4 linked regions of the Nothobranchius furzeri genome follow. The protein of the gene in region 2 interacts with the protein of the main gene of each other region in a pairwise test. Links are inferred from orthologs where the notes say so. Each region holds a gene or a part of one and is shown on either strand. Other genes may lie near its edges. The genes, in order: shcbp1, shc1, insrb and insulin-like growth factor 1 receptor.

The links.
Region 1: the proteins of shc1 (region 2) and shcbp1 interact in a two-hybrid assay, tested with the Homo sapiens proteins (2 studies listed by BioGRID, with this or other methods). The link is inferred for Nothobranchius furzeri from reciprocal best matches to the Homo sapiens genes SHC1 and SHCBP1.
Region 3: the proteins of shc1 (region 2) and insrb interact in a two-hybrid assay, tested with the Homo sapiens proteins (2 studies listed by BioGRID and IntAct). The link is inferred for Nothobranchius furzeri from reciprocal best matches to the Homo sapiens genes SHC1 and INSR.
Region 4: the proteins of shc1 (region 2) and insulin-like growth factor 1 receptor interact in a two-hybrid assay, tested with the Homo sapiens proteins (4 studies listed by BioGRID and IntAct). The link is inferred for Nothobranchius furzeri from reciprocal best matches to the Homo sapiens genes SHC1 and IGF1R.

The regions. Positions count from the first base shown.
Region 1 is NC_091749.1:8,722,951-8,731,222, reverse strand, and holds the start of shcbp1 (SHC SH2 domain-binding protein 1), read right to left. Parts: upstream 5,402-8,272; 5' UTR 5,347-5,401; coding exon 5,142-5,346; intron 4,841-5,141; exon of another isoform or gene 4,743-4,840; intron 4,690-4,742; exon of another isoform or gene 4,366-4,689; coding exon of another isoform or gene 4,233-4,365; intron 2,788-4,232; coding exon 2,572-2,787; intron 2,498-2,571; coding exon 2,382-2,497; intron 2,306-2,381; coding exon 2,097-2,305; intron 2,030-2,096; coding exon 1,934-2,029; intron 1,849-1,933; coding exon 1,618-1,848; intron 1,533-1,617; coding exon 1,355-1,532; intron 1-1,354. Other genes in the region: U5 small nuclear ribonucleoprotein TSSC4, read left to right, coding at 5,526-6,338. UniProt on the Homo sapiens protein: May play a role in signaling pathways governing cellular proliferation, cell growth and differentiation. May be a component of a novel signaling pathway downstream of Shc. Acts as a positive regulator of FGF signaling in neural progenitor cells.
Region 2 is NC_091745.1:78,655,303-78,663,521, reverse strand, and holds the start of shc1 (SHC-transforming protein 1), read right to left. Parts: upstream 4,889-8,219; 5' UTR 4,671-4,888; coding exon 4,074-4,670; intron 841-4,073; coding exon 770-840; intron 1-769. UniProt on the Homo sapiens protein: Signaling adapter that couples activated growth factor receptors to signaling pathways. Participates in a signaling cascade initiated by activated KIT and KITLG/SCF.
Region 3 is NC_091748.1:58,174,587-58,182,206, forward strand, and holds part of insrb (insulin receptor b), read left to right. Parts: intron 1-2,065; coding exon 2,066-2,205; intron 2,206-2,279; coding exon 2,280-2,424; intron 2,425-2,507; coding exon 2,508-2,722; intron 2,723-2,908; coding exon 2,909-3,035; intron 3,036-3,152; coding exon 3,153-3,403; intron 3,404-3,505; coding exon 3,506-3,673; intron 3,674-3,753; coding exon 3,754-3,952; intron 3,953-4,965; coding exon 4,966-5,104; intron 5,105-5,288; coding exon 5,289-5,442; intron 5,443-5,630; coding exon 5,631-5,779; intron 5,780-7,550; coding exon 7,551-7,620. UniProt on the Homo sapiens protein: Receptor tyrosine kinase which mediates the pleiotropic actions of insulin.
Region 4 is NC_091749.1:29,602,652-29,610,946, reverse strand, and holds the start of insulin-like growth factor 1 receptor, read right to left. Parts: upstream 5,258-8,295; 5' UTR 5,031-5,257; coding exon 4,943-5,030; intron 1-4,942. UniProt on the Homo sapiens protein: Receptor tyrosine kinase which mediates actions of insulin-like growth factor 1 (IGF1). Binds IGF1 with high affinity and IGF2 and insulin (INS) with a lower affinity. The activated IGF1R is involved in cell growth and survival control.

The sequences.
Region 1 (8,272 bases), on a different chromosome or scaffold from region 2:
TGCATTTTGGATCCAATCCCCACCAAATTATTTAAAGATGCATTTCCTTTGGTTACTGCTCCCATTCTAGATATAATCAATCTATCCTTAGTAAATGGATATGTACAACAAGATTTTAAGGTTGCTGTACTCAAACCTTCACTTAAAGGGGCATTATGGAAGTTTGACAGCCAAAACATGTATAGAAATAATAAATGTCTTCTTCATACATTCTCCTGCAATGCCCTGGTCCTGTAGAATGAGCCCTGGCATTTTTACTGTGATTGCCTGTTTTTCTGTAAAATCACAGAAAAAGAGAGATGCTCGGGTCGAACAGGCTGCTTCATGCGCGTTCACGCTCAGGCATCGCCCGTAGCATTTGCTATCCGTAGCTTTAGCAGCAGAGAGAGAGGCAGCGCCAACTCAGCGACTTTGTCGCTGTTCCTAACGCCTAGTGATGAACCTAGCTACATTTCTGAGGACCCTTAGCTACTTTCTTCTAGATATTTTCTGCAAATTAGCAACAAAATAGCCATTTTCACTCTGAACTGTTCTTTGGATTGATGTCGTTTCAGCTGTCATCATGGATATAAATATTACAGATAAATGAAATGTCACATAAGCTCACCTAGTAAGATGTCCGACTTTCATCCAGTCGACTTTGGTTCGATTCCAGGTGTGAACAATTTGTTATTTGGAGTTCCGTTTTACATTAATGATATATATTTTTTACAGTATTATGACACCCACATTTTTTGAGACTCCTGTCCTCTGTCTTCCGGCCAGGGAGGAGCAAACACAGCGAAAGAAACATGGAGGGACAGAACGTAAACTGCGGGACAAGTGTGGGTGTTTAATCTCATTATAAAAAGTGTCTGTGTTAAACGCCCCCCACAGGTGCCACTCACGGTGCTCAGAACCGTTTCGCTGCTGTGCGGGAGATGTGTGTGTTACATTCGTGGACCGTTTCACTGCCATGAGAGTGTGGAAGGGGGTAATAGCGCACGAAGAGTTTCAGTGCCGTGCGTCGGTCGTGAAAGCGGGGTTGTTTGGTGGGGTGATTACATAGCCGTGGCGCTGTGCCACGCCTGAGCCTATGTAGGGCAAACACCGAGCCATTCTGTTATACAATCTCAGGATGAATTTAAAGTCACGTTTGTTTTATGTCTGATCTTTTCCGCTCGATTCCATTCATTTAAAATCACTTGATCGGGTCCAATTTGTGATCACATGATCAGATCGGAGCAGCTCTAGGAAGAAGCAATGTTCACTGACGGAAACCACGAGGATTTAACAAACTGGAGAAAACTAGCACCGTGAGTTTCAGACCAGGAGCGAGTCCAGGTGGATGACTCGTAGACGTGGAGATACTGACCTGGATCTCGGTGTCCTCAGTCGAGCACAGAGGCATCAGCCGTGCACTGAGGAGGGACTGGAGCAGGACGGTGCAGCAGGATTCTGTCACCACATGAACCACCTTCAGACCCGATGATCTGAGCCCACGGCTCTGTAGGTTTTGCTGCCAGGAGTTTCCTTTGTAAGCCAGGACATACCTGTGGGAGAGTCGGGTTCATGTGTGGAGGGATGGTTATTAGACAGTAGGGAGGGACGTGAGAGGGAGGACAAAGGACAGAGTACCTCAACAGGGGGTTCTCAATGATGCGGAGCTTTCTTTTGAATGTCTCCAGCTGGTCGTAGAGCTTCAGGCCCTCCACCATGGACACGTTGTCCAGCTCCGAGTCGGAGTCAACGCTGAGGCTGCTGCGTAGCTGTGAAAACTGCTGGAAGCACTTGGAACAGTTTTCCAGTAAGGAGCGGTACTCCGCCACCAGGCCGACAGGGACTCTGTCCTCCAGGATGTCGTAGAAACTAAGAAAGATTTTAAAATGTGATTCAGGAATAGGGACAAATATTCACAGGTAGAACTTATCCCAGAAGCTCTGGATCTTCTCACAGTCTCAGACGAGGCTCCACACAGCGGACAAAATAGTCAAAGTCGTCATCTTCATCCTCCTCATCCCACTCCCTCCAGATGTGTTTATAGAAAAAACTGCAAAAGAGAAAACACTGTCGCCAAGCACGTGAAACCGGTGCAGTCCCATTCAGCAGAGACCTACCGGAGGTGTTCAAGAGCCAGAGCGGTCTGAACAAAGTCCCCAGACTCATCATATACCACCTGCAGCTCCTGCAGGTGAACTTTGTACTGAGTGGCTTCTAGCAGAGAGAGCATGGCCTCCTCAGTGATCTCACAGCCTCTGGTGACACACTTCAGAGGCAGCGAGAGCTCCACCCAGGCTTTCAGATTCTTCAGGTCCAAATCGGTCACCTGGAACAGAATCATACAGAAGAGCTGCAGAAAACCTGCAGTAATGGAGTTTAGATTCACATGCAACTGCTCTCACCTCCACCAGGACGTCAAACGCATCTGTGCACCATAAGGCCATCCAGTCACACGGCTCCAGCACCTTCTCCAGGTAGTCTGCTGTGAAAGCCTTCACTTCTGAGGGCTTACAATCCCCTACACACACACAAACACAGAACAACCAGTCAAAATAGACCCAAACACAGTGATCATGCTGGAGCTTCAGGTACCAAGCATGTAGTCCTGGTAGGCCTTGAACCGCTCGTAGAACAGCAAGCTGCTGGTCTGGAAGGTGTCCGGAAGGCTTGAGCGCCCTCCTTCATGGTGCTCACACCTCTGCAGCTGGGTTCCCGACTTCTCACCGCTTAAGTGGTCTGTGCCACTGTCATCATCATCCTCCTCCTCCTCCTCATCAGCAGCCTCTTTGTCTTCATTCTGAAACAGGACTGCAGGGATACATCATGTTATTCTGGGTGACACACACACACACACACACACACACACACACACACAAAGTTCAGCTTTAATCATTTTCATTCTATACAAAATCTGCTGCTTTTAGCAGCATTAATGTCAGCTGATCGGTTATCGGCCACAACAGTGATGTTGGTATCGGCACACAAATGTCATATCGGTGCTTCCAGACACTAGGTTACTAAGACTGCTCCAGAATTTGACTCCTAGAACTGAAACTCATAAATAATTAGCCCTCATCTAGCTAAGATCATTCATAAAGGGAGCCTAAGGCTCCTCCCCTTGGATCAGCTCATGGGTCCCTGAACGAGGCGATAGAAGATGCTGGTCCGCTTTGCCTCACTAGCACGTATGTTGTACTTCAGTTTGATCATTTGAAGTCATATACTTTACGACGTCTCCACTGGTGGAGCTGCTACTCACCACATGGAGATTTTAGCGGTTATCTCCTGGTTTAATGCTCCGTCTTGCTCTGGCATCTGTATGTTGGTTCTAAATTAATCTCTTCTGTGTGTCTGGTTTGATGACGTCAGCTTAGTGAGACATACATTTGTAGTCCTCTACGTTTTTTCACACAAAACCTAAAATAACTTTTGCCGCCACTGGAGAATAAGCATGTTCTTGGCATATATATTAAAAGAGTTTAGTGCATTTGTTAGAAGAGTTTGTGGCGACTGTAATAGCTTCTTCAAGGTGTAAATATTGGATCCATTTTGTTTTTAATCCATTTCTCATGTTTCAACACAACAAGCTGTAGAAAATACTTCAGATCATAATGAATTATGTTATAACGCTGTTTACCCATCACAACTACAAATGTTATTACACTCAGTTCTGCACCATTTAAACATTATAGTTGTTTTTAACATCATAAACTTACTTTTATGTAATGATCTTGTTCAGCAGTTTTGAACTGTAATCATTCCTCTTTTGGGTGTTTTTAATAAACTCTTGAACAGAACAAGTTAAGGTTATTATCCCCAAAAGTGGGGCATTTGCACAGTCATGGCAGAAAGTGGACAGTATAAAATAAAAGCAACAAAAGAATGAAAACTATAACAACGGAGAAGTACACTAGTTCACTAAACAGGCAGCCATCTACAAATATAAGTATTAATATGTGTGAGTGTGTAGAAAATAAAAGGTATGTGTATGTAAATTTTTAAATTTGATAAATATATGTATATACACAGAGTTTTATATGTACATACGTTGATATGAGAAAATTGCGCGCCTGAAGTATACAAAGATTAAACATAAACGTTTATAGTGCATTGGATGTGAGTGTTTATTAATCCGTGTGCGTGGTCAAGAAAAGTAATATAGCAGCAACAGAACACCTTTTTTTAATAAACAACAGCATAACACACAGCCAACAGCTGGTTGGCATTAGCCTAACTAAACATCTAGTCCAGACCTTGAGTTGTGTCCGCTTCGGAGGAGCCGCTTCCAGCCTCCAGCTCGGCTGTAACGGTGGAGTCTAGGTCCACCACCACCATGTCCGACATGTCACTAACTCTACACGTTGGTTCCCCTTGTTCTAGCTCCATGGAGACTAACCGATGTTTATTTTAACGGAGCAAAACGCACACACCCAGCTCAGCTCTGTTCCACTAACGCGATCAATAGCGTCAGACACTCACTTTTAAAATATCCCGGTCAGAAAGTCGACAGCCAATCAGGAGTTAGTTTTCTTCTTCTTCCTTGGCGGTTGGACGGCAGTCTGGATTCCATCTTGCTGAATTGCCGCCCCCTATCGTGTTGTCAAGGTCTAGTAGCTTAAACAGATTATTTATCCTCATGCACCGTCCCACGGGTTTAGAAAGTTACTGTTTAATTTCATCATCTCTGTTCAATCAACTCGCAGCTTAATCTAACTCACTCATTCAGCTCTGCCTAAAACAAATCTTTCAGAAGTCGTTCACACGAGGAACCGCCGGGGGGCAGCAGCTCCTTTGTGAGCACACCCACAAACAAGAACCATAGAAGAAGCCAAAATAATGTTCCCGAGGAAGCAGCTAGCAGGTAAATGCACTAAAAGCAAACGTTGCTATCCGTTTCACTTTAACCGAACAGCTAAACAGACGTCTTAAACACAACGTGACGTGAACGGGCTCTTTGGATGCTGATCATAATCGAACTAAGTCGCTAAACAGCGACGCATTAGCTTGCTAACACCTGAGGTTTAAAACAAAAACAATTCTGTGGTTGAAATAAGCTGTAAGAAACGTGTTAGGGAAAATAAATAATGTCGAAAATCCGAGTAAACAACAGCAAAAATGTGGTTTTACTTATGTTTATAATACGTTTATATGTCTGGTTTTACCTGTCAGGCAGTTTCCTAAAGTAATGCTTGTTCCTCCATTAAGAGGTGTGTTACCGTATTTACCAGAGTAGAGGTGCACGGAGCAGGTCCCGTTTAAGAAAGAGGGATTCCTCCCAACAATCACCGTTACTTCATAAAGTAAAAGCGTTAGAGTAATCCTGCCTAGGTGTTGTAGCAGATTAAAGACGCTCAGAGACCAGAACATGCGCCAACTTCAGTCTGGGAACATGGACGTTTAAACTCCAGCCTGTCATGGAGGTTGTGGGGAGAACGCATGTGCTAAGGTGTGTAATTCTTTTTGTGGATCTTTTGTCCTTTCAGAATGAGCCTCCTCTCGTCATCACCACTTGGTTTATTTCACTGAGCTTCTGTGTTGGTGTAAAGATGTCCGAGCGGGAACAGGTCAGAGACGACGGTGGGGTGTTTCAGAGCGACGATGTGCTTGAGCTGTCACCCAGCCACGAGTCTGAAGCTGAAGAAGCACCCAGCAGGGCTCCTTTTGACCCAGAGCTGGACCACAGTGATGATGAGGAGGAGGTGGAGGCCAGTGGTCCAGCTCCTATCGCTACGTTCACCCTGACTGGAGGGAACTCCGCCTTCTCCTACCGCAGCCGCAGCATCTTTGACTGTCTGGACACTGTTGACAGGAAGACTGCGCCCAGTCTCAATCAGGAGACTTCCACAAACCGCAGGAAGACGAGTTGTCCTATGCCCACTTGTCCAACACCACCAAAGAAGAGAGGTGTGCCTGATTACTTGGCGCACCCGGAGCGTTGGACCCACTACAGTCTAGAGGACGTGACTGAGAGCAGCGATCAGGACAATAGGAGGACAGCCCACCAGTTCCTGTCCAGCCTGAGACAAGAGACAAATCGTGATCCCCCCTGCAACATCCAGAAGAAGATGATCTTCTCTAGACCAAACCGACCACCAAAAGATCTCATCACAGTGCAGCAGGGAAAGGAGAAGGAGCTACAGCTGAGCCATTTAGCCGAGGAGGAGGAGGAGGAGGATGAAGGCAAACGAAGAGAGGAGACCAGAGGACCAACCGTACTGGAGGATGAAGAAAAGGAGGTGAGTGGAGGTGTGGAGCCAGCAGAAGAGCAGACGATGGAGGAGTCCAGCCTTAGCTTCACCTCCTTCAGGAAGACTAAAACAAAAAACTACAGGAGAAGCTCAGAACAGGAGGATGACTGAAAGTCACTGATCCTGTCCCTGCTGCAGCACGACACCCAGAACCAGGTGAGAGCACAGAGGCCAGTCCCGACTCCAGTACAGCTCAGCAGACAGGTTCACAACATCTGGATGACTGTCCAAGCAGAGCTCAGCAGGCACAAACCCGGGGACCACTCAGAATCGTCCCTGAGAAACGGCGCTGACAACGTCTAGCGTGCTCGCTACCTGCAGCTCTACACCAGTCCTGCTGATGGCGCTGTTGTTATTAGCTACTGCTAATCAGAGGTGGCAGACACATCAGCATTCGACTGCTTCTGTCTGAAATGAAACCACATCACACAGTTTGAACCAACTTGTATGAAAGAAAATAAAAGTTTCTGCTTCCCACAAAAACTAAACACGTAAAAGTTTAAAGAGCAGATCCTCTTTAGCAGCTCGCTGTTGAGCCCGACCACGTTCAGAGTTGCTGTTTGATTCTGTCCCTGATCTCTGACAGGAACACGTGGCATGACCCGTTTCATCTGTCGGCTTTAATAAAGTTGGTGAAAGTCTTCAGGCTCGTCTGTTCATGTGAGGTCAGCTGCAGATAATCAACTCCAACACCGTCATCAATGCAGCTTTACAGCATGACAGCAAATGTTTTTAAAATGCACTTTTACTATGAAAACCTTACTAGGACTAGGAATGTGTTGAGAGGACGACGGCCACGGGGAGGAGCCAAAGCTGACTGCTGCAGCTGAGGTCTCCAGTCGAAAGGCTCAGAGTCCACAGGTCGTGTAAACGACTCGGAGCAGAAAACAAGCGTTTCAAAGGTGACCTGCAGAAACTGCTGTTCGGGAAGGACCTGTGGTCAGAAGCTGTCTGCATGAAATGGATCACTGTGTCCAAATGTCTCCAGGACTGAATCAACCTTGGTTAGTGTGGCAGGGTGGAGAAACGAGGGCCTGGGCGGGATTCGATCCCCAGACTCCGGGTGAGAGTCACGGGCGCTAACCAGTAGCCAGGACCAGTCGAGTCACGGTGACCCGACGCTCACACTGCCACATCAGGATGCAGACGATTTGAGGCGGGACCGTGCTCGGGTCATTACCTGTGTTTGCCTATCAGCTCAGCTGCAGTTACATTTATGATCTGAGCTTTGCATTTTGTCCTCTCGAGAGGACAAGGCCCCATAAAACTACTGGCTGCTTGTTTCTTATCAGAACCTACTGTTTCTGGTTCTCATGAACTGCAGTTGGGTCCATTTTAGCCAACAGAACAGAGCCTGGCTCATCGTGGTCACATGTTTACATCCCTCCCACTGGTGTCCCACAAGGCCAGTCCTCAGTCGGCATGACTGCAGATGTGACTGCCCTGGGAGATCTTCAAGCTAGTTGCTGACTCAACACGGGGGCGGAGCATAGGCTTTAAGTGGCAGCCCACCTACTGGAGAGGGACTGATGTTAATGAAAACACTGAACGACTGAGTCAGACTGACCTCAGCTTTAAACATTAAATTATTTCATCCTCTCGGGTTGAAATTGTGGTCCGGGGACGAGTCAGGAAGCCGTCACTGGTCCTTATGTATTCTGTAGATTTCATAAGGTGTATTGTTATTTTTTATTGTTTCCTGGTGATCAGAGGTTGTCTCCCTGTTATTATTCTGTTTATCTGTAGCACTGTGGCTGTCACCCACATGACCCCTCAAGTCTAAATGTTTTCTGGAGCCACCGATGCTGGTCAGATGTTTGGCTCCACGGCCTTTAAACGGGCACCTGTGTGCTCGTGGGGAGATAGCTCAGTTAAGCAGCTGAGTCACATTTACGTTGTCCTCTGGGCCAACAGTGAGCCCTAGCAGCGGTGCAGGTAAATGTGGGGATAACTCTAGGGCTGAAACTAACGATTATTTTCATAATCGATTAATCTGTCGATTATTTTTTCGATTAATCGGTTTGTTATTGTTTAGCTATTTAACC
Region 2 (8,219 bases):
GTGGAAAACTCTGGAAAAACCAGTGACTCCGCCCCCTAGCCAACCAGTGAGCAATGGTCGCCAGCGTTGTGTTTTCAGCCTGGCTTGGTTCGCTTAGAACCACATTTAAGCGGGTCCTGAAAACAGGGTGTCAAGAATTGACCTGCTAATGGAAATGGCCTGGAGATGGGTTGAGCAGTGCTGAGTGGGTACTGGTGGGAAAAGCCCACTAGTGAAGAACCAGTTTGGTTCATTAAGACAGAATTTTTTGCCCTTTGTTTTAAGCTGAATGCAAAAATACTACCATGGACGACACAGTTTAAAACAAAATGGTTTCTGATTTCCAACAAAGGGATTATATAAAGCTGCTAGCTGAAAACTTGTGACTCATAAGAGCCGAATCTCTCAGGTCCAGATTTATGTCTAATGGATTCCTCCCCTAAAGACGTGACTTTCAGTTACCGCTCTTCTGCTATTGACAGTTTTTTAGGCCTCACACTCACTTTATCCTACGCTTGTCTACTTTCCCAATCATTTAGGCAAACACTGGACAATGTGCTCTCTCGGTACAAGAGCTGGACTGAAAATGGGGTTAAAAAAAAAAAAAAAGCCAAAGTCCAGAAATACACTTCAAGGTTTTTTAGAAACTGCATAGAAATCTTGAATGAGACAACTTCAATGACTACCAGGAACTCTGGTTCCTAGAACCAAGAACGTACAGAAGTTAAGGCCGGTTTAAGCCGGTACTGCAGGATAAAACGAGGGCGGAGAAAGTTGTGTTTACTCTCACCTGGTGACCTGAGTTCTGGTGTTGAAGTCCAGTGCTCTCATTGACTGTAGCACCTCCACACAACCCATGTACTGCCCAGGAAACAGGAAGGGGACACATTCAGACCAGACATTTCCTACACGTGGGCCAATTTTAGCAATGGCAGACTGAGAAAACAAGCTGAGGTAGAAAGGAATTGTACACTTTGCGTGATACAAAGATATTGGAAAAAATTTACAATGATAAGCTGGAAAAATTTGTAGAAAAAAATGGCATTTTATTAGACAGTCAGTATGGTTTCAGATCAGGTAGATCTACTGCACAAGCTCTAATGGAATTGGTTGAAGACATATCCACATCGCTTGATCAGAAAAAATATGTTCTGGGAATTAGAGCCCTGCACTGAAGCCCTAGGCCCTCGGGTCGGCCCGGCCCGACGGCCCGAGGGCCGGGCTTCGGGCCAACGACTGTGTAATTACCTCGGACACGGGCCGGGCCGGGCGCCTTTTATTTTTAATCAAAATCATTAAAAAAATTAAAACACTTAAACGCAGCAGTAGAGCCCTGTGCGGGACTGTTTTCTTCACCCCGCTCCCACTGAATTTCTGACCATTACAGCCTGCAACCGCAACGTGTGTGTTACACTCCCGCCCTCACCTGCAGCGTGCATGTCTACTCCTGCCCGCAACCGCAAAACTCGGAGAAATTATTACCTCACAATAAAAGAGATGTATTGAGTTTGCGTCCTCAACATGACATTTTATAGGTTATCCGCTTTCACCGCAGCGCTGCGCTCCGTTTCAATCAGGCTGTACAGCAGGATTTCCCCTCTTAGCGATATTTTATCTAACTCTGATTGCTTCATGCTATAGATCGTTGGAAAGCTGCTTTGATGTACTTTTAGGAACCGTTGGAATTATTTGAATCTGATCAGCCATTCAAAAGTTATAAAACGGAGCATTTTGGATGACAAACTCAGCACGTCTCTGAATCTGTGTTGTGGTTTGTTGCGCTCAAGACAGGGAATCCCGGTGGCTACCATAATGTATTGTATGTGCACGAAAAGCCCCATTTTTAATCTTTTCAGCACTTTTGGAATTTTAATGATATCTTGAACTAGAGCAGGGATCGGCAACCCGCAGCTCTTCCATCCATCTGATGCGGCTCTCTGTGCTTGTAAAATAATGAATGGATATTTAAATAAAATGCTTTATATTTTACTGCATTAATTTTATATCTGTAAGTCAATTCTATGTGAAGATTGTCTGCGTAAACCTGAACAGGTCCAACCCAGTCTTACTGTGAGACCGTGTTGGGTCACGCTTGTGCGTAATCATATGCGCTCATGAGCTGAAGAGGATGTGAGATTCTGGGATTCTCCTCAGACGGCTCCTGGATGTGTCGCACATTGGAGACAGGAACAAGCGCTATTCAGCCAAAGTTTCATAATCAGGGAACATTTTCTAAGTGACAAGTCTCTCTGAGAGACAGGGTTTGGAAAACACTCGCTTCAGTGGAAGTAAGCTTCCCGCATGCGCTTCTGCGACGCTCGGATCCTGCACGTCTTTTAACACATTGGTCAGGATTGACGCACTTTGTTTTCATTTAGTTGGTTAAAAAAAAGTCGGGCTTGGGCTCGGGCCGGGCCAGAGAATCCTGAAAACCTTTTTGGGCCGGGTCGGGCTGGGGCTCCACCCCCTCGGGCCGGGCCGGACACGGGCTCAGATTTTAGGCCCGTGCAGGGCTCTACTGGGAATTTTTATTGATTTGAAGAAAGCCTTTGATACAGTCGATCACAAAATACTTTTATCAAAAATGGAGAAGTGTGGTATAAGGGAGACAGCTCTCAATTGGCTAAAAAGTTATTTGAGTAACAGAGCTCAGTATGTGCAGTTGGGCTATCACAAGTCTAGCTGTCTCGAAGTTCACTGTGGAGTTCCGCAAGGGTCGGTACTTGGCCCAAAGTTATTTCTGTTATATATAAATGATATTTACACAACTTCAAAATTATTTAAATTTATTATGTTTGCTGATGATACAAATATTTTGTGTTCAGCAGAAGATATACAGCAACTTATACTAAAGGTCCAGAATGAATTGAGTGAGCTTAAGAATTGGTTTGATAAAAACAAACTGTCGTTAAATGTCAGCAAAACAAAGTTGATGTTATTTGGAAATAAAAGAAGTAGTAAAGAAATCTATTTGACTGTTAATGAAATAGCCATTGAAAGAGTGTATGAAATTAAGTTTTTGGGGATATTGATTGATCATAAGCTCTGTTGGAAGCCATACATACAATATGTGTGTTCTAAATTAGCCAGAAGCATTGGAATAATAAATAAAACAAGATATTCTCTACCACAGAAAGCACTACACACACTTTATTGTACTATGATTCTACCATACTTATCATATTGTGTCGAAGTATGGGGCAATACTTATAAATCTAATTTATTAAAGATTTGTGTTCTCCAAAAAAGAGTGGTAAGGATAATTATAAATTCTGGATATAGAGATCATACAACTCCATTATTCTACAATTTAAGATTACTCAAATTTTTTGACTTAATTCAATTTAAAACTGTCCTTGTACCGTATAGGGCCATGATGGGTGTACTGCCGTGTAATTTGCAAAGGTTGTTTAAAACTCATGAAGAGGGTTATGAATTGAGAGGCGTTAAAAACTTCATTTTTCCATTATACCGAACAACTATGAAAAGTATGTGTGTATCTGTATGTGGTATCAAACTGTGGAACAAACTTGATGTGACTTTAAAATTATGTAAAAACATTAGATCATTTAAAATGTTGTATAAACAACTCATAATTGACTCATACGTAAATAGCAAGTGATAAAAATGGTAATTGGCTTCAAATGGAATATTTTGTTTTTGTTGTTTATTGGTTTTGTTTTCTTTTTTCTGTAGATTCATGTGAACAATTGTTTTGTAACTGTCTTTTTATGTAGCAACTAGCAAGGTGAAGATAGAACGACCTGCATAAAGAATTTTTTTTTTCTTTCAAATTTGTTAATGTGAGCAAATGTGATTTATTAACTGAATTGGGGCTGGACTAGATAAGCTTTTGCTTCTTCCAGTTCCCTCTCAAATGGTTTTATGTTATTGTATGTTTTGTATTGTTTCATTCAACAGCATATGTTTATCGTATTCCTCATTTAAAAAAAAAAAAATTTTTTTTTGTATGCACCAGGAATATGGGGGAGTGCATATGCAATTTCATGTTTTCGATGGTTTGAGATAAATAAATAAATAAAAAATAATAATAAAAATACAGGCTGGACAGTTGAAGTGTGCCACTCACTCACCCGAACAGTATAGGAAACTCCCGTGGTGCTGATCACGTTGTCAGAATGCAGCCAGCCACGGGTGGGCTTGTTGACAAAGGAGCCATGGCGCGTCCACTCGTCTCCTCCCAGCTGCCCTCCTTCCACCCGTGCCCTCCTGGACGCTCCTCCGAGCCGGTTCATGTCCTGCAGAGGAGGTCGGCGAGGGGGAGAGGGAGCAGTTAGTGTGGGAATGGGTTGATGAAGAGTAGGGGAGGAGCTAGAGTTGCTCCTATCATCTCCAGATGACTCAACAGGTGCCTGGGACTGCTGAGACCTGTTTGAGAACCTGGGCACTGGGAGAAGAGTGCCAGTGACCCCGAGACGAAGGGATCTCATACTGGGGAAGAAGGAGCAGAGGGTGGTGGGGCTGTTCTCAGCTGGGCGCGGGGAGGTGGGGGGCAAAATGGCAGTGAGAGACGAGGAGGAGAAGGAAGAAGGCAAACCAGGGGAGGGAGTCAGAGGGGTGGCGGGGCTGGATGGAGGGAACGGCGACGGAATGGAGTTGGTCTCATCTGTTGAGCTCAGCGACTCACTCCGAATGTGGGTGTACTTGGTTTTCTGCATGAGCTCCATCATGTATTATTTATAGGTCCTCTTAGGCTGCAGAGCTTCAAGCCAAGTCTTTTTGTCTCACGACTCAAAGTTTTTCTCTGGAAGGACACTCAAGTATCTGTCTGTGTAGGAGCTGCGTCCATCTGTCCGCCGCTCAGGCAGCCCGCACCAAACCGCTTCACAACTGGCTTTATCCACACTGAGAGCAGGAGGAGAGGAGGTGCTGCGGAAAGGTGGGGCCTCCTCAGCAGCGGTGGGGAGCAGATGAAAAAAGTGTTGTAGAGCACCAGAACAGCTCATGTTGTCATCAGTTTCTTTTGGTGTTTTTTGCTTTTGTTCGCCGAGTTCCCCTGAATGGACGAAAACACGTTCTCAGCTCTCCGTAGAGCGATGGTCTTCAGCCACGATGCTAAACGATTTCTCGTCCCAACTTAATCGTCTCCGAGTGCCGGACGACTATTCAGCTGTCGCCAGCACCACGACGAACCAACACAAGTGATTGTCTCTGAATGCTCCTTGTGCGTGTGTGTGTGTGTGTGTGTGTGTGTGTGTGTGTGTGTTACTGCACAAAAAGGTGTGTACATCAGTTTGTGACGCGTCTACATGGCAGTGTAAACCGAGTGTGTGTGCGTGTGTGTAGCAGCTCCCCTTTGGCAGCTCTATCACGCTTGACATAGGCCTGTAAAATTCCTATTAGCAGCCAACAAGGGGATTGCAGAAGGGGCTGCACACGCTAACACAGCAGCAACACATAAAACACAACCTCGGCTGGTCGATAATACAGCGAACACCTGCAGAGCCACGGAAGAAGAGAGAGGAGGCTCTCAAACTCTGCAGTCGTGCAGTCGCTTCAACTTTTCACGACTATTCTTAAATCTGGCTCCCCTTTCTACTCCCTCTCCCCCTTCGTCCAGATGCTTTCATGTCCTCTCTGAATGGCCCTTGCTCTCTCCCTCCCAACGTCTCCTTCTTCTCTCCTCTTCCAGATCACTTCTGGTGAAGACTCCCTTCCCTTCTCTGAGCTCTTCCCTCCCTTCTCTCTTTCTCCTCTCTTATCCTGGAAGTCCTCTCTCTTCCTCCACACGATGTACTCTGCCAGCCTCTGCTTCTCCAACGCCTCCGCCCTCTCCCGTGCCACCACTTCCTCTCTCCTCTTCCAAACGATCTCTCGGTCCCCCTCTCCCCCTCCCTCGATTGCTCGCCCGTTCTCCAGGCTGCCTTGTTTAACAGTCCCACACTTGTATGCTAAATACTGAGCCCTGTCGTTGCGCCTCTTTACGTTAAGGACCGCGGATGGCTAGAGGCTAGACATGTTGGCTTTAGACGCCGATATAAAACCAAAAGAAAGTGAAAAGTTAGTAATTAAGACTGGGCTTAGAGCTGAGCCCGTTCCTGACTGAGGTTCCTGAAATGGCCTGCCTTGGTTCGTGTGTTCTGTAGAACTGGCCACCTTGGTCACGGTGTGTTTTGTTGCTGGAGCACCATTTGATCGTGGTAAAGTTGAGTCTGAGATGTCTGTCTGGTACAGCGAGACACACTGCAGTAGCACAGTGGTGATGTAACACGGCAGAATGTAGGTCATAGGATGACGATGACTACCGGTGGGCCTGTTGAGACGATAACAAGCCCTGATTGGTCAGGCTTGGACCCCCAACTTAGGGTTCCCTGAATGGAGACCCACTGGTGTTGTAAATGAACCCGCTGGGTTAAGACTGCACTCAGCTCCTGACTCGGTACTAGCATGGACACAGATTATAGTTGTTTACCTGAGAGAACAGTATTGACACCGATATGAACGAATCGCCGTGCTATAATCCAGAACAGCGTCCCTATTTTTCTAAGGCTTATCAAGCAAGTTAAGCCCACAAGCATCTCATATTCTGCATAGTCCAATCTAAAGTACAGTCTGTTTTATTAATAGTCTCCAAAGTGACCTCAGTAGGAGGCAAGGCCACACCTACAACCCTCAGCCAGCCGGCTGGCCTACACCTTAGTGCTGTAGAGGCATTATTCAAACGTACAACACACCAACCTTTACAATCACCAACAAATGACACACTTATTATCCAGACAAGTCAAATTAAGGTTGTGAGTATGGCACTGATGTCTCAGTAATGCCAACACTTCCTGTTGTCATTTCAGAAATGAGCCACAGCGCTCGAGGCTGTAGAAGGCGCTGGACGCATGGCAGAAGGAACAGTCGCCTACATTAGTCTAGCACCACAGAGGGACTGTCCAGCAGTTCTAGCGATCCCTCCATCTGGTCTTGGCCAGGAAGCACCAGGAAGGATCCAGTAAATGCACTGCCAGAGAGGCTGGGATGTTCTCCAGAAAGCTGTAAAGAAGTATGGCTGACACCCAGTGTTTAGACCATCAAAGGGACGCAGAATACTTCAAAACAAAACAGTCGGTCATACAGCTAGAGAAACCAAAGATGAGCACAGAGAGAAGATTAGCACTTCAAAAAGGCAACAGATCGGATAAACGGAGGAAACTCCAGGTGTTGTTGAACAAAGGGCTGCTGAAAGGCCCTCTGAGCAGAGTCAACCCTCTGGTTTTTGTTTGTTTCAGTACACAGAACACAGTGTAGGTCAGGTGACTACAAAGGGCATGACCCTGGACACCAAGAGGAATCCTCCTGAGTCACCGTCACATGAACAGTAAGCGTAACGAACCGTCACCAACAGGACAGCTAATGAGTGGTAATCAGAGGCCTTGGGGCCAAGCAGCTGCTCCCACTGATGTGAACAAGAGAAATCAGAGTGTTAATCTAATTTATCCAGTCACGCCTGATAATAGCTCATCAGCCTGACTGATGAGAACGGCTGTTGCCATTAAAAGTGGGCGGAGCTGAAACAACCCTGAACACAGCTGAAAATATACAAAAACGGTAAAAAAAAATCTACGTTTTGTTTTATAAAAACCTAAAAAGCATCGTAAGAACCTATCTTAACCACAGACTACTCTAGCCTATGGAACAGTTAGCTAATGGACCAGCACTAGGCGGTGTCAAAAGACAAGAAAAAGACTTTACATCTTCTGTCTGCCGCCGCTGCCCGTTGCTATGGCAACAGACATTAAAAGAGATGCCTGCATAGGATATGTGCCGAGAAGTCCCGACAAGGGTGGGAATCTTCAAAGAGATTACTGTTTTTTTTTCTTTTACAACCCTATGGCAAGCAATTAGCTGTTGCAGCAAACACTTTTTTGTTTGCTTGTTTGTTTGTCTGACAGCAGGAGAAAAAACAACAACTAGAAAAGATCAATACGGTTCAGGAGATGATCAAAGTTTGACCGGCATCACGTCGGCCATAAAACCAAATCAATGTTGACATCCCAGACTGGCTGGACGCCCTGACAACAACCAGGGCACGTAAAAGCGATGTAATCTCAAAGGCTGATTATCGTTTCCCTAATAGCCGTATAAAAAACAGCTACACTACAGTCACATATCCAAAACAACCAAGGTTAAGAAAAGTTGCATAAAAACAACCTGAATATTCTGTGCAGCTGCTAAAAAAAGACGATTGTTTAACATCCTGCAGAGTGGCGTCAACGCTCAGAAACTAGAAA
Region 3 (7,620 bases), on a different chromosome or scaffold from region 2:
CGCACACACACACACACACACCGATGACTTCAGAAGATGTCACACTGACCAACATTGCTTTCATAATGATTTACCTTTACTGTAACCATAGCTACTGCTTGTATAACCTAAATACGTCCTCACATACCAAAACCTAATGATCTGTGTTATGGCCCCTGTCTCTCCGTCTCTGTTATGTCCCTGTGTGTGACTGTGTGTGCAATACCTGGGTAGTACCCAAACAACCAGAGAAACAGAGATTTGTTCTGACCAGATTGATGAGCTAACAGCTAGTCCCATCCGCGTCTTTTTCAGAAATGCCATGGTGGTTAATAAAAATACTGTTTTATAAACTCCAGTTAGATAAAGACAGAAAATGTTATTAAATTCGGACTGGAACTGTGTAAAACTTAGTTAGCTACCTTGCTAAGCTGCTCATTTTCTTTGCAACAAGACAGAATTCGCTTTGAAAAGTTCAAATCTATTCCCCTAATGAGCGCTTAAGATTAAAGATCATTGTTGGAAACTTCCCTCGGGCTGAGTCCAACCCTCTTAAGTCGAACAATAAATCTGAATAATAAACGTTCATTGATCTGCGAGCGGTGACTTCATTTATTTGTAGGGACCAGATGTTCCTGCTTGGATCCTCTTTGGGATGTTCTTGACTTTCCCTTCAGACGCTTTTCATTAAACAGATTTAGCTAATGTTTTCTAATGTATCTACACTCGTGTACTGTTTGAGGTGATTTCGGCCTTCTTTTTTGGACAACCTGACAACGTTCACGCACACTCACAGCTGGTCGGGTTCGGTCAGGGTTTGGCCGAGACCGAACCTTGAGCGTCAGCTGTAGACAGTGCTCTGGATGGCTCTAACAGACCCCGGAGTCACAGGGTTCAGATAAACACCGGCCCTTTAAAAAGCCAGCCTGTCTGCCTGTGAGTCTGTGTTTTCAGTGCAGCAGCCCAAAACATTCTCCCTTTCTGTGCCGCAACTGGAGCGTTACTTTGGAGAAGCTGGATATAGCATTTTCCATGTGGGAAAAACAGACAACCTACCCTTCAAATTTTTTGTATTAGTTATTGTTTGGGGAGCTTGTTACTTTTGTCTCCTCTCACACAAAAGCTCAGAGAGGAACCGACGAGTTGGCTTCTGACTGCGGTGATTTATTCAGAGTTTGATGAGATGGAAACTGAGGCGCCAGGAGTGTGAAAGACCATTTGGATCCAAGTGGCATCACTTGGACTAAATAACGAGGGTGTAGATGTTATAGGGGGGAAAGTGGGGGTGTTGTTCTGGTAAGGGTGTGAAGATGAGACCGAGGTTTTCACATGAACAGCAGTCTGCTCAGCTTAAAACTATTAAATGCTGATTTAAATCCTCTACTAATCAGGCTCTTGCCTGAATTGTCGCCTTTTTTTTAAAATTATTAGACAAATGTGACCATAACTTTTTCCTTTCTCCTGAGTGATAAATCCCTGTTGCATGTGCAGCTTTATGCAGAACAAAATAAAACGGATCATGTCCTTCAGGGGGTTTTAGGAGACAAAGTGCGTATTTGTGAATAAAGCATCCCACTGCTTGCCGTACAGCGTGTTCACTCATCAGACGACAAGATGTTCTTATCCTGACCATCCCTGTGTGAAGACCTGATGGCGCAGAGGGTGTGTTTGGGTATGTGATGCAGTGCATGTTTGCAAGGGGGAGGATGTTACGTACCAAAGAGGCTGTTGGGAACTGCAGCCATGTTGTTTTTGTGTAGTTTCTAAAGCACTGATGTGGAGAAGAGCAAGTTGAATCTGATGTTATTTGTTAGATGATTTTTCCAAACTACGTCAGAGAAGCTCTCTCCTTTTTGATTTTGGAGTCGTCGTTCATTCAGGTGCCGCTTTGCGTTTTTAGACGTAACGCGAGGAGAAAAGTGGAAATCTGCTTCGTAGATTGAGCCGTGGAGTTAAATTTCCCAAGCCTTCCTACCAGTTGGTTTTCCTTGTTCCATTTCTGATAACTGAACACAAGCCTGTTGATGTTTTTCTTCCTTGGTCTTAATGAATTTGTCATTAATCTGTTCTCCTTCTGTGTGTGCAGGCTGATGTGTAAGCCGTGCGCGGGCCCCTGTCCTAAAGAGTGTAAAGGAAATAAAACCATTGACTCTGTGACTTCGGCTCAGGCTTTACGAGGCTGCACCGTTATTGAAGGCAACGTGATCATTAAGATCCGAGGTGGAAGTAAGTAGCGTTGCACGTGTCTGTGACTTCTGGTCTTTCATCCTGACCTCCTGTCTTTACTTGAACTCTTGCAGATAACATAGCAGCTGAGTTGGAGGCCAGTCTGGGACAGATTGAGGAGATCAGAGGTTACCTGAGCATACGCAGAGCCTACGCCTTGGTCTCCCTCTCCTTCCTACGAAAACTACGCCTCATCAAGGGGGAACAACTCGAAGGAGAGTAAGTTCCTCCCCTTTTACCTTCAGCTACAGTTTTCTATCGTTCTTTATGTTTAACTTCTTTATCGCCTTGTTTCTCCTTAGTATTTATGCCTTCTACGCACTGGACAACCAGAACCTCCGTCAGCTGTGGGACTGGTCCAAACACAACCTGACAATAGAGCACGGTCGTACGTTCTTCCACTACAACTCCAAGCTTTGCATGTCTGAAATCACCAAGATGGAGGAGGTAACTGGAACCAAAGAGCGCAACCAGAAGAACGACATTGCTCTTCGCACCAACGGAGACCAGGCTTCCTGTAAGAACCTCTGGAGCCTCTACTAACACATCCACCTCATCACTCCCTTTACATTTGTATTATTTTTCTACTTCAGTAACGTACCAAGAAACAAAAACCCATGAAACCTTAAAATCTTTACCCACAAGCTTAAACTTCATCCAGATTCAACTTGCTGGATGTGTCTGACGAGTTGTTTTGTCTTAGGCGAATCAAAGAGTCTGAATTTCACCCACGTTAAGACGTCACACAACATGATTATGTTGAAGTGGAACTCATTCTGGCCCTCGGACTACAGGGACCTGCTGGGATTTATGGTTCTCTACAAGGAGGCGTAAGTTGGATTCCTACACGCAAATGGCCCTGGAGTATAAACATTACACTTAATGCCCCCATCTTTGAAATGATGATGCTGAATGAGCTGGTTTAAACTTGGCTGCTTCTACTTCAGTCCGTACAGGAATGTGACAGAGTTTGATGGACAGGACGCCTGTGGATCAAACAGCTGGGTGATCGCAGACGTAGATCCACCAGCCCGCTCCACAGATGGCAAGAAGGCCGATGATCCTGGGCACCTGATTCGTCCATTGAAACCCTGGACGCAGTACGCCATCATGGTCAAAACCCAGCTGTCTGCTTCTGATGAGCGACAGGTTTATGGAGCCAAAAGCAAAATCATTTATGTCCGCACTAATGCCTCCCGTGAGTTCAAATCTGAGATTTTCTGCTTTTGTTTGGTGTGGTTCAAACTGTCCTAATCTCTGAACTGAAGGCAGCAGGATTAACCGTTTCTTTTTCCTCCAGGACCTTCTGTACCTCTGGACCCCATCTCATCCTCCAACTCCTCCTCTCAAATCATCCTGAAGTGGAAACCGCCAAACAGCCCCAACGGCAACATCACCCACTACCGGGTCATCTGTCGTAAACAACCAGAGGACAGTGACCTCTTTAAGTTTGACTACTGCTTACAAGGTTTGTCTCCAGCTGGCTCGGCCGCTGCTTGTCTCCATCTTTTGTCAGGCTTTCGCCTCACCCATGCTCCTCCTGTCCAGGGATGAAGCTTCCATCTCGAATTCCAACCCACCTCGACCTCGAAGAAGAGCAGAAATGGAACCACACGGATGATCCCACCTCAGAGGGCAAATGTTGTGCCTGTCCCATGACAAAGAGCCAGATAGAAAAGCAACAACAGGAAATAGAATACCGCAAGACTTTTGAGAATTACCTCCATAACGAAGTCTTTGAGAGCAGGTAAGCAAGTCTAGACACCTCAGGGTGAAGATCGCGTTTTAGCCGTCTGTTTTATTTTTGGAGAAGCTGCAATTTCACCGTTCTGGTCAGGGTGCAGCATTTACAGCTCGGTAACAATGTAGCACACACAGCGCACCCTAAAGGGGGTTTACAACTGACCTTGTGTTGGTGGTGGGTGTCATCTCAGCCAAGGTTCTTTTGTGTGTGTGTGTGTGTGTGTGTGTGTGTGTGTGTGTGTGTGTGTGTGTGTGTTTGTGTGTGTGTGTGTGTGTGTGTGTGTGTGTGTGTGTGTGTGTGTTGTGTGTGTGTGTGTGTGTGTGTGTGTGTGTGTGTGTGTGTGTGTGTGTGTGTGTGTGTGTGTGTGTGTGTGTGTGTGTTCTCTGTAGACCCTTGTTTTTGTACTGAACATCTCTATGGGGGCTCAGAATGGGAGGTTTTGTGTATTTGAACTTTAATTCTACACACACACACACACACACACACACACACACTGTCATTTTTTTCCTATCTGCCTCTTTGGGGGAGTGATTACCGTGCCCATTATCATCCACGCCGGTCAGAGAAGCAGTCATGCAGACAGCCCTTTGGAGACACAAACACCGCCTCACACACTCCTCAGATTCATTTTGATCCTGTGATTTTGAACTGGTCTTTGGTCCAAACAACCATCGCTGTTCTTTTTTAGTCCACTAAGCAAAGAAATCATCAGCTTCAACCCAGTCCTCCACCTCTCGGCACGCCAAGGTGTTAGTTTTTGATGGAGCTTTGAGCTGATGGCATCCGTGGTTTTAGTGAAAACTGCTGCTGGTGGAAGAAGTTTTGCTCACTGGCGCCACACAGCGGAAAGAGTTGTTTGCTCCACCAACATTGAATAAATGTCATGACCTCATCACTTGTTGGTTTCCCTTTATAGCTGCTCCATTTTTCATCTGCAAAATAACATTCCTGTCCTCTGATCTCAGCCCCTTGGTCTTGGATCTTATTCATTTTGATAATTTCTGTTTTTCATCCAGGTCGCCCCGTGAACGGCGCTCAGTGGACAAACCGGACACAACACAGTTTCCCTTATTTTTTACAACGATATCTAGTCTGCAGCTTGGCTCCACCACCGCCTCATCTACAGAGGAAGACGAGAACGAAGAGGGATCCAAGGTCTACAACACTGAATGAAATCTGTTATAGATTAGTGTTTGCCTACAAGTTCAACTAAAACGGCTTTTAAGTTTTTTTAGAAAAAAAAAATTAAAACACCTTGCAAAAAATTATTTTTGTGTAAAAGAGAAATGCTTTTTATCTGTATATATTTTGAATCCCATCCCATAATTTTCCTGCTCAGGTGGAGCTGAATGTTACCTCTAAGGAGTCAGCAGTCATATCCAACTTGCACCATTTCACCAGCTACACCATCGAGATCATGGCCTGCAACCACCCTGAAGACCCCAAACGCTGCAGCCTGGCGACTTACGTCAGTGCCCGAACGATGCCAGAAGGTGAGATATCAAACTATTTTTGCTTCATCTAAACATACAGATTTACTTTTAGTTTGATTTTGATCAAATGACACCCGCTTGTGCATTGGTCACATAAAAAAACACAAAGTATACCATCATCACGGGTGCAAAATGCTAGGTAGAGATCAGTTTGCTCAAATGTTTCTGTCTTTGTGTGGCTCTGGCAGAAAAAGCAGACGATATCCCAGGTCCTGTGACTCACGATGTTGTGGTCGCTGAACCTCCCTACGTGTTGATTAAGTGGAACGCGCCTCGATCACCCAATGGACTCATCATCCTTTACGAGGTTTTCTACAAGAAGGTCGGAGACACAGAGGTACGTGTCAACAACACGGTAACATGGAGTGCTCCTGACGTCAGGCATAAACCTTTACCCAAACAACGCAGATTAAAACTACACTACACACACATCTAATTAAGGACTCCCCCACCTTCGATAATTTGGATAAAACACACAAAACACATACCGACTACAAAAAAGGATACAAAGCATGCTGAGGAGACAGCAGGCCAGAGACAGATGTCTCCGTTTGCTCCTCGCTGAGGGTGGGTCCAGGCGTGTTTTAGGCCGATTGTGAACTGGGTGCTTTAGGGCGGAGCGAGGTAGAGTGGGATGAGACAGCTGTTGTAGAATAGCGCCTCTCAGCACAAGGATGAAATCAGAAGGGAAAGAGGAGCATGCACCAAAAGAAAAACAAATGGCTGTGGCCGTAACTGAGAAACTTTGTCAAATCTCATTCTGAATGCCTTCCTGTGCTCATCTCGGACTCTACTCGATGAGATCTTGGACTGCCGGACATCTAAGGTTTTGAGTAAAGGTGACGCCTGGCTCAGCTCACACCATCGGATCAGTCCGGACGTTTCAAAACAGAAATGGGAGCTGGACCTGGGTGTTGGATTGTCAGAAAAGGCCTGGCACAAGACGTGAGACACAGTATTATTTAGCTCAAAGTGGTGCACCATTTGCTTTGGTCCAAAGACAGACTGCAATAATGAAGCCAGACTTAGACCCAACTTGTTCTGGACCTGCCTGACACGACAGGGATATTGGAGGCCCAATTTTGATGAACTCTCTAGGATTTGTGCGACCACTGTGCACCCTGACCCCTTGACTGCTCTGTTTGTGGTGGTCACAGTGGACGATACAGCAGATGGTAGCCAACAGCACATAATAGCTTTATGCTATTTGTGAGCCATCCTGTCCGAGTGGAAAGATGCTCGGCCTCAACCACTTTATTGGAGAAATTATGAATCATTTGGACCTGGAGAGGATCAGACATGGTCTGAAAGGGTCAGCTGACAATTTTGATGTTGTGTGGCAATTGTTTGTCTCCTATTTTTAAGAATGTACCATAAGACAATTGGTGATTGTTTCTATTACTATGTAAACTTGTTTTTGTGTACACACTAACGCTTTCTAGTGGGTGGGTGTGTCCGTGTTGAACTTTGACTGTGTGTGCAACAGCATGTGTGTTCAGTGTTGTTGTTTACTTGCAGCAAATGTGTAAATAATCTCACTGCTATTCATTGCTGCACCACCATCAGCAACTCTGTTGCTATAGTAACAGAAGCAGAAGGCTCTAATGCAGCAGTGATGGAGGTGCATCTCCACTGCACTACTCTGAAAGCATTGCAAACTTTAGCTCTTTCAAACAACCGATGCATTTTTCATTTAGGTTATTATTGGTATAATTATGATTATTAAAAAAAATATCACTGGATGGGCAAAAAAAATGTGTCCATTTACTATAAATTCTACCAACTTCTCCATCAACTATAAAACCAAGCTGTTTTTCTGACTAGTATAAAAGAAACCAAACAAGTGACTCGGGTGAACAGCAGAAGTCAGACTAGATAGTCACAAAAAAATTTTCTACCTCATAGGTCAAGAGAATTATTGAAATTCAGTGAAGCATTTCCTTCTCACCTATTGGTGTTTTTAAAGCTGCGTACATGTTCAGCATATTTTGCTAAATGACCATTTCCATATTCTCTTTGCTAAATCCATTTTTATGGTTTGGGTGAAGTAGCTGCTTTTCCTGTCGCCCTCACTGATGCTAAACTGTGTTTTTCATACGTTCTTCCAGGTTCACACAGTTTGTGTGTCACGGCCGGCTTACGTCAACATGAGCGGGACCAAGCTCCACCTTGTTCACC
Region 4 (8,295 bases), on a different chromosome or scaffold from region 2:
CAGCTTTGATATTAATGAGTTTTTTGGGTTCATTGAGAACATGGTTGTTGTTCAATAATAAAATTATTCCTCAAAAATGCAACTTGCCTAATAATTCTGCACTCCCTGTATGCTCCTCCACATATACCATGAACATGAGGAGATTAGAAAAGCCAAAATGTCCCCACAGGTTATAGGAAAGGTTTGTAGTTAGCTGGTTAGTGAAGGAGATGCATCAGCTGGGTAGGCTGTCATTTAATCCTAACTCAGCCACAGCCTTCTGCTAGTGTCATTATTATCACAAGAATAAAGCAAAGATCTCAGAAATTATTAGAAGTTTAGGATTTTTCTTTTAAGTGTTAGTAGTGCTGGGCAATAAATCGATATGTTTTAAAAATCGGTATAATTTTTAAACAAGATACAAGATGACTTTATATCGATATAACTGGTCAAACTGCTATGCTAGCGATTAGCCGCTATGCTAGCGACATGTTGCTCCGTCTGTAAGCGGCTAATACATGTATTCTCACAAGTCATCATGCTAGAGAAGTTTCTCTGTGGTGGACCACACCAGCTTCTGCCACAATAAATAATTATAATAATAAATAACATTTTTTATTTCCCTTCTTAACTATTTCAGTTGAGAGTTTTAATGTTTAAAATCTGTTAGATTGTTACTGACAGCAGCTACGTTTAAGTTTCACTTTCTGTTCTGACTGAATGCTGCTGCAGCATGGAGGTGTAGTTCTCAGTCATCCTGGACATGATCATCCTGAGAGTTTCAGCTGAAAACAGCTGGACGTTTCTGGATATGTTGGAGACATTTAGCCTCTCATCCCAGAGGCTTCTTCCAGACTTTGGTTGTGGTCAAAAACAAACACACTGGTTGTGCTGCAAGTCTTTTTCTTTTTTCTTCAAAACATGTTTTTGTCTAAATGAAGGTGATGTTATTGTTCATAGAATTAAAATTCATGTTGAAGTTAAGATTATTTCATCAAGTAGGACCTGTGGTTAGCCGGCTCATGTAAAACATGTCATGTCTTGAAAGAATCGGAATCGAAACGAGGAATCGTTCAAAATCAAACGATGCCCAACCCTACACCAGACTGTGACATGCATGAAACTAGAGAGCTTCCATCTCATCCACATGTTCCTGCAACTATTGTGTACGACCAAAAGACCAGGAATAATGGCTTTGCCTGTGTCTGTGTCCACTACAGCTAATGAACATCAACATTTACACAAAAAAAAAAAAAAGATTTAACTGAGTCAGTTTTACAGATACTGAGCTAAGTTTTATGTGAAAGTAGATGAAAGCTGTCACCAACACAAAGAGACAGAGCAAACCGATCACACACAATTTGAGACTGGACATAAAGTTGTTTAAGATTTAAACAAAACAGCCTTAAGTAGATTATTTCTCAACATAAGATCTTTTTCGTTGAAATCTCAGTATTACAATGGAAAGACCTAAGAAACTAAATTAACTCATTTTATAGCGACATCATCGACAACTCTTTACAAGCAGCACACCGATGTGTTTCTGATGAAAACCAACAAGCAGATTGAGTTCCGAGTCACTTAACACAAACATAAAGGTGTCACGTCATCATATCATGGATATGGGAAGATGATACTTTTTTACTGTGTTAAAAGTTAAACCAGTATTACAGTAGATAATACGGCCCAGCCCAAGGGTGTTCCTACAAGTAGCAGCTGCTTGTTCTCGATTTCCAAAATACATTGTGCCTAAATTTATGACGTGGTTTTTTTCTTTAGAATTAAACTGGGCTTTACTCTGGATGTGTAACACAATACATGCGTTTCACCTGAACCTCAGCGACGCAGCGCTTCCTACCAGGAGCTTTTCAGACACGTAGTGACTGCAAATGTATTTCATGCTGCTACCCCCGCAAAATCACAGGAGAATAGCTAAATCTTGCGTGATTTAGCCCGTTTATACAATAACAAACAAGGAGAAAGACGGCCTTTTCCGGATGAATTTTACAAAACTAGAAACAAAAGGGTTTTTTTAAATAAAGTTTAAAAGGATTTCTTAAAAGCCGATGTTTCCTGAACTTGATAATAAATATAAATTTTCTTTAATGGTTGAAGCTATGCAAATACAGAGGAATGGTATAGGACATTTTTGTTTGTCTATGTGTTTATGTGCTTCTCCCAAAGAAATGAGGGTATTTGTTGTGATTTATTGCAGAGGGTGTACTTGCGTGGTTCTTTTATCTCTCTCTATAATCTTCTAGTCAGCAGCAGCCTTCAGCGGGCTGCATACCTGTTAATACACCACCAACACGCGGGCCTGTAAAAAGACACGCTGCCGAGTGACGTTACATCACCACAGACTTGATGCTTCACCCACTGTGGCCTCTCTGCAGCACCGGCATGGCTATCTTTCATGAGAGCTGCTGCTGATTGTTCCTGAGACAATCCTAAACAGGAGACTAATAATGTACATCTTTGCACCAGCTACATGAAAACACAAGTGGCAGGTGTGGTGGCTTATTAACTCCCCCTCCCTCTACTTCCACATAGACAGACTTCAAACAGCTGAGTACACAAACCTATCTCTGCAGCTTTGATGAGCTTCCAGATCACATATTTACTTTTGATAACCTTTCCGGGGCTGGCTGCAGGACCCAGACAGTCCACAGACAATCAGAGGAAATCTACAAGTAACTCCATAAAACACAAAATACGACCCAATATGCTCTCCAAGCGGCGCATCTCTCACTGCCACTAGACTGCAGTAAGACTGTTTACCCCTCATTTCCATCATGTTCATGACAGGATCCCCGCGGGGGAAAACGTATTCATAAATACTTTTCCACTTGAGAGGTAAGGTGAGAAGAAAATTCACTGGAAAGCCTAAACAAAAGATCATTCTCAGCAGAATGGAAGGGAACGTGTCCGGGTTGATCTGGGAGGGGACGAACCTGCTACCAGCCCTGTAGTCCGGCCCGCTGCTGCAAACCAGCAAGAATTCTCAAAGTTTAGCCACACCAGAAACATTCAGCCAGCTCTGAGCCAGGTTTAGACGAAACACCAGGATGGGAGAACCTCTCTGCTGCTCCCAGGTTCTGTAACCGCCGGGGCGAACAGTAAACCCCATGACACACAGTCCACAAGCTCCACACTCTTCCAAATCAACAGAACTTAGTCTGTTTTGCTTGTGAGTGTTCTTTGGCTTGTTCTATTTAAAAACCCAGACCCTGGTTCAACCCAGTAAACCACACCTCCCCAGTTCGTCATGATGAATGAGAATGAATCAGAAAGCCCAGTTTAAGGTTGGAAACATTTCAGGTGGCAACACATAAAACAAATGTTTGAATGAATAAAGAAGCTTTGAGTTAATCAAAGGTGACGGTTTAACAAGATGTCTGAGGCCATCAGACTATACGTCTTGTCATTTTCTGTCAGTGGAAAAGATATATTCTTTGTTTTAGGTCAAACCGGTCACCACTTGTCTGAGCTGTTGAAATTTCGAAGAGAAGCGCAGCTTACACGAAGCAAAAATGCACATTCAGCCCTAATAACCTGAGCGCTTTTGGCTGAAATGATTTGCCTATTGGGAAGATTTGGTGTGTCTGATAATTAGCTGCATCAGTCGGCCATTAACACAATTCAAGGTCAAGATGGATTGTTTGGCTAAAGAAATGAAAAATGTGAGAAAAGGGTATATTGAGACTACTGGGTAAAGTTCATACACTTCTCCGGTTTAATCCATCTTGAAGGTAAAAATGTAAACATAAGAAACATCTGTAAAGCTGAACAAGCAAAAAACATAAAATCTATCCAATTGTGAAAAGTAGGAAAAGATGGTAAACAGATGCAGAGTTCCCCTTTACCCCCTCCCTAGTCTGAAAGCGTATTTCACACTGGACCCAGTCAAAATGTCCCAACCTTTCCTGGTAGCGGTTCCTGTGGAAGTAAGATACCGTTAACATATCTCTTAACTCAAACGCATCACAATGCTGACTCAGGCATGACAGTGAAACCTGGGTGACTTTCACCACCGCATGACTCAGGACGAATTTAAAATTAAGCTAATCTGACTCACGATAACATCTAAACAAATATGTTTCAATATTAAAACCGCAACGCTCATTTAAAGTGTGTTAAATCTTACCACTGCAATAAAGATTGGATTTCACAACATTTTATTACATGAAAACTTCTATATGAGATTAGTTCAAATTAAAGTTATACTAATAAGAGTAGAGGTGCGATACTACCAAAACAGAGATTGTAGAATCATCTGGAGCACGTTTAAGGAAAAGGTGATTAGAATTTGTCAAATAATATTAGCTGAAATATTTTTTCTTTTAGGGCTGTTTATACAAGGACATTGTGTGGTTGTATTTGCTTACAAAAGAATAGTTTAGAAAAAACTAGTAAAAAATTATTTAAATTATTATTTCACCATTCAAAAACTGATTTATTTTATATCACCATATTTCACTGCTATATTTATGATAAAATAACAAAACTATAAATAAAAATTAAACATTTTATCTATGACTGCAGCTTGCAGGTCGCACCTTTTATTACTTGAAACTCATTTATCATCTTTTAGTCTCTATTATAAATTGTGCGGGATGACAGTCCATTGATAAAACTGCTCAATAAACTGTCACTTAATAAATTACAGCGCACACTCTGAATATAAATGTGCTTCACGACATATCGCAATTATTGCGATATTACAGTTAATTCGGTATTATTGTGAACATTTGACACCAGTTTCCATGCAAATGTGTTGTGTCTAATTTAACAGCACCTGAACTTAACCAGTTCAATTATGAACATTTAAAACGTGATTTTAAAACAGACTCGGTTGTTAATTTGTTTGGTGTTTGGACTGAGATGCATGCCAATCCTGTTTTCTGGGTGTAATTTGAGTTGGAGCGTGGAAAAACATCGTGTCCAAGTGAGCAGCAGTACTTACTCTCTGCGGTGGCGGGCCGAAGGCAGGACAGACACAGCATCAGACCCCAAAACAAGGTCAAGCGGCTCCCTTCCATCCCACACCTCATCCCTGCTAACCCAAGTCCCGCTGAAATCTTGTTTTTACTCTAATATTGGAGGAAGATGGTCGGAATGGTTAAAAACGGCTTTTAATCTGCAGCCTTGTAGCCGTTAGCCGGCTAATGGGGCTAATAGCTACAACAAACAGAGCAGGGACGCTGTCTCACGTTTCCCAATGGGAGTCCAGTCCTAAATTACCAATTTATCCCGCCGTCCAAACAGCGTGTACTCATAGTTCACCTTATCCTTGCCAAACACAGCCCCGCATCCAAGTGTTCAATGAAACCATATCGACTAAACTAGCGGTGGGGATTCCTCGGTAATCCACATCTTCCCACTCCATATCAGGAGGAAAAAACAGTCAACGTGCCGCCGCTGCTGGATGGTCTCTTTGGGAACAGCAACGAGACCACCCCTGAAACCGGACTTGGAAAAGGTGGACCGGGACACACGTTTAAACACGGCCTGGTTGTGTTAACGACACGACGTCTCTTTCGAAATTTCCAGGATAAAATCTGGTTGCAGACCGCAGCCTCCTCTCCTCCTCCTCAGCCGGTCAACACACACTGCGTTGTTGTGGTGGCCCCGATTCACCTCCCCGCAAACCAAAAACAACGCGCCTATTCGCCCCTGTTGCTTCGGTTGAGGCCAAATATGTTTGCTGCGTGTCGTTCTCCGTAGGTAGATAGCAGAACGGGCTCGGTAACTGGACAGATTAATGCACAGGTACACGCACGGTCTCCCTCGGTCAGTCTGCAGTCTTCTGCGTTCGCTGTAAACACGGCGCCGTGGCCAGAGATCGTCTGTGACGAAAAGATGTATCACTCCAAATCTGAGGAAAAGCAGGGCGTCGCTACTACTGCAGTTCAGACGCCGAAGGGAACCAGTTGCCATGGTGATCGGCCTCTTAATCACCACCAGTTGTCTCCTGATGTCGTTTCATGCATACATTCCACACAATAACCCCTTAATTTTACATAAAACATACCAAAGAGTCTTTATTATTTCTGTACTGAAATCATTACAAAAAATCGTCCTCATTAGTTACAGAGAGTAGGGCTTTGATGTTACTAAATAATTAAAGAATAGACGAAAATAACGTGGTTTTACAAAAACGTTACATTTCTGTGTTGATTCGGGGCCCTAAACAATCCCCTATTTGCGTTTTGAAAATCAGACAGAGTGAGACCTCTCAACTCCACTCTGCCGAGACCACTCTTTTTTTACGAGACTGTGCAAAGCAAATCCGTGATGCTGATCCAGGATCAGATTTGTTTTCCTGCTAACAAATGCACATTGGAGTGCCACAAGGATTGAGCGTGCTCGACTGCGCACGTGAAAATGCTTTATGGGGGGTTGCCCTTTCATGGTTGGTGCGATCATTTAGGATCCAGTTGGTCTGATGATCGGTTAATATCTTTTAAAAGCTCCAGGAATGTTTCCCTAGATCCAGTAGAATATTCCAACCCTTAACATTGTCTTTTTTGTATTTTGCCACCTTTTAGACCTATTTCAAATAATTAAATTCTTGTTTTTTATTATAATAAACTTAATTAATTGAATGTAAATTAAAAATCGCATTTAACATTGAATCTAGAAATATGTTTTATTCTATTGTTAACAGGGGCGGACTGGCCATCTGTGGGTTCTGGAGAATCACAGAACGGCCGGTACCCCAGGACGGCCGGTGGGCCGGCCCACCACTCTCCACCGCTTTCAACACCTGTTTCCCCCACCCCCGAAAGCTCTTTCACGCTCCAGCACTCTAGGTGGCAGCACTGCACCTGTAAGTTGGATGCCAGCTACATTGGCTGTGGCCGCCAGGCAAGGAGAAGAAGAAGCTGAAGCGGAGAGGAGGCAAAGGCAGTGGTAGAAAAAAAAACGATGCAAAACCCGACCGCTCGTTTTAAAAGGAAAGACAATGGTGGGGCAGAGAAGGCAAGAGAAAAAATTGCGGGCATTAGATGCTGAAGCCTCTAAATGTCACAAATTAACCGACATATTTAGCAGCACAGCCAGCAGCAGCACCTCGCAGCAGGTTCACAGCAGCGAAGAAGCACACAGCAACATGCCAGCAGTAATGAGGGACAGAAAGATGCGCTGGTTCCACAGGCAGATCCAGGGGAAGTAAGTATGGAATGTAAGAGGAGAAACATTTGCAAGGATTGATGTTAGGAATTCATGTTTAGGTTGCAATTTTATTTTATGATAACAGCTAAATTTCAACCTTTTAGCTGTAAAAGGCCACATGCAGTAAGAAATATGCTGTGGTTTTACGTAAAAAGGTTGGTAGTGGTGTTACAGTTAATGCTCACAAACTTTGAAAATCTTAAATACAGAAGTTACATTTGCAATGTTGCATTTTCATTTAGATGTGGTTTATTAGTGCAGTAAGAAGATTAATTACTGCATAAACTATTAAGCTTATCAGTAATACAGCTTTTAATACAGCATATAGTTAAATTATAGCAACATTAGCGCTGTTGCTATAATTTTGATGGTTTGGCCACATATGTTTGCTGCCGAATTTCTGCGCGCCGATTTCTTTGGGCCGGGCCTAGTCAAAGTCCAGGGCTGTTTTTTAGTCCCAGTCCGTCCCTGATTGTAAAGAAAAACCGAGATACCAACTGATACGACACTTAATGAAGTGTTGAAACAGAGTTGTTTTAACATTCACACCTGGGTATTATTTAAAATGCCATGAGTCATCAACTCTGAAACAAACAGGTTTAAATATCTAAAATGGAGTCACAACATAACAGCATGTGAAGGAAAGCATAAATCACCTCCCTGTGGTAAAACATGGCAATGGAAGCATCATAATGTGGGGATGCAACAGGCTGGGAGACTAGAAAAATAGATTCAGGCTGCAGTAAAAGTAGCAGCAAGTATGGACACACGGTTCACAAACTGTGTGAGAGAAGTAGAAAATATTCACGTTTCAATTAATGATTAGTATTTTTCTAAATTATCTGCTGAAATATTGCATCATTTGGTATGGCCTCTGAAGCCGAGGTGAATCTACTACATTAACATTGAACTCTTTTTATGGAAAATGCACGGAATTGGCGCCATCTTGAGGAGGAAAGAAGTAACTGCAGCCATGCCGTTGGCAAAACAAGGTAGAGGTGAAGTTGATCCGAATAAGAATGGATCGTCTTTTGATAAATAGCTGATACATTTTTTATATTTTGGAGGCTGTTATTTGTGCGAATGTAGACTTGTCAAACTTTATTATTAATAATTTTAGTTTTCTGCAGCATATGGAAGTGT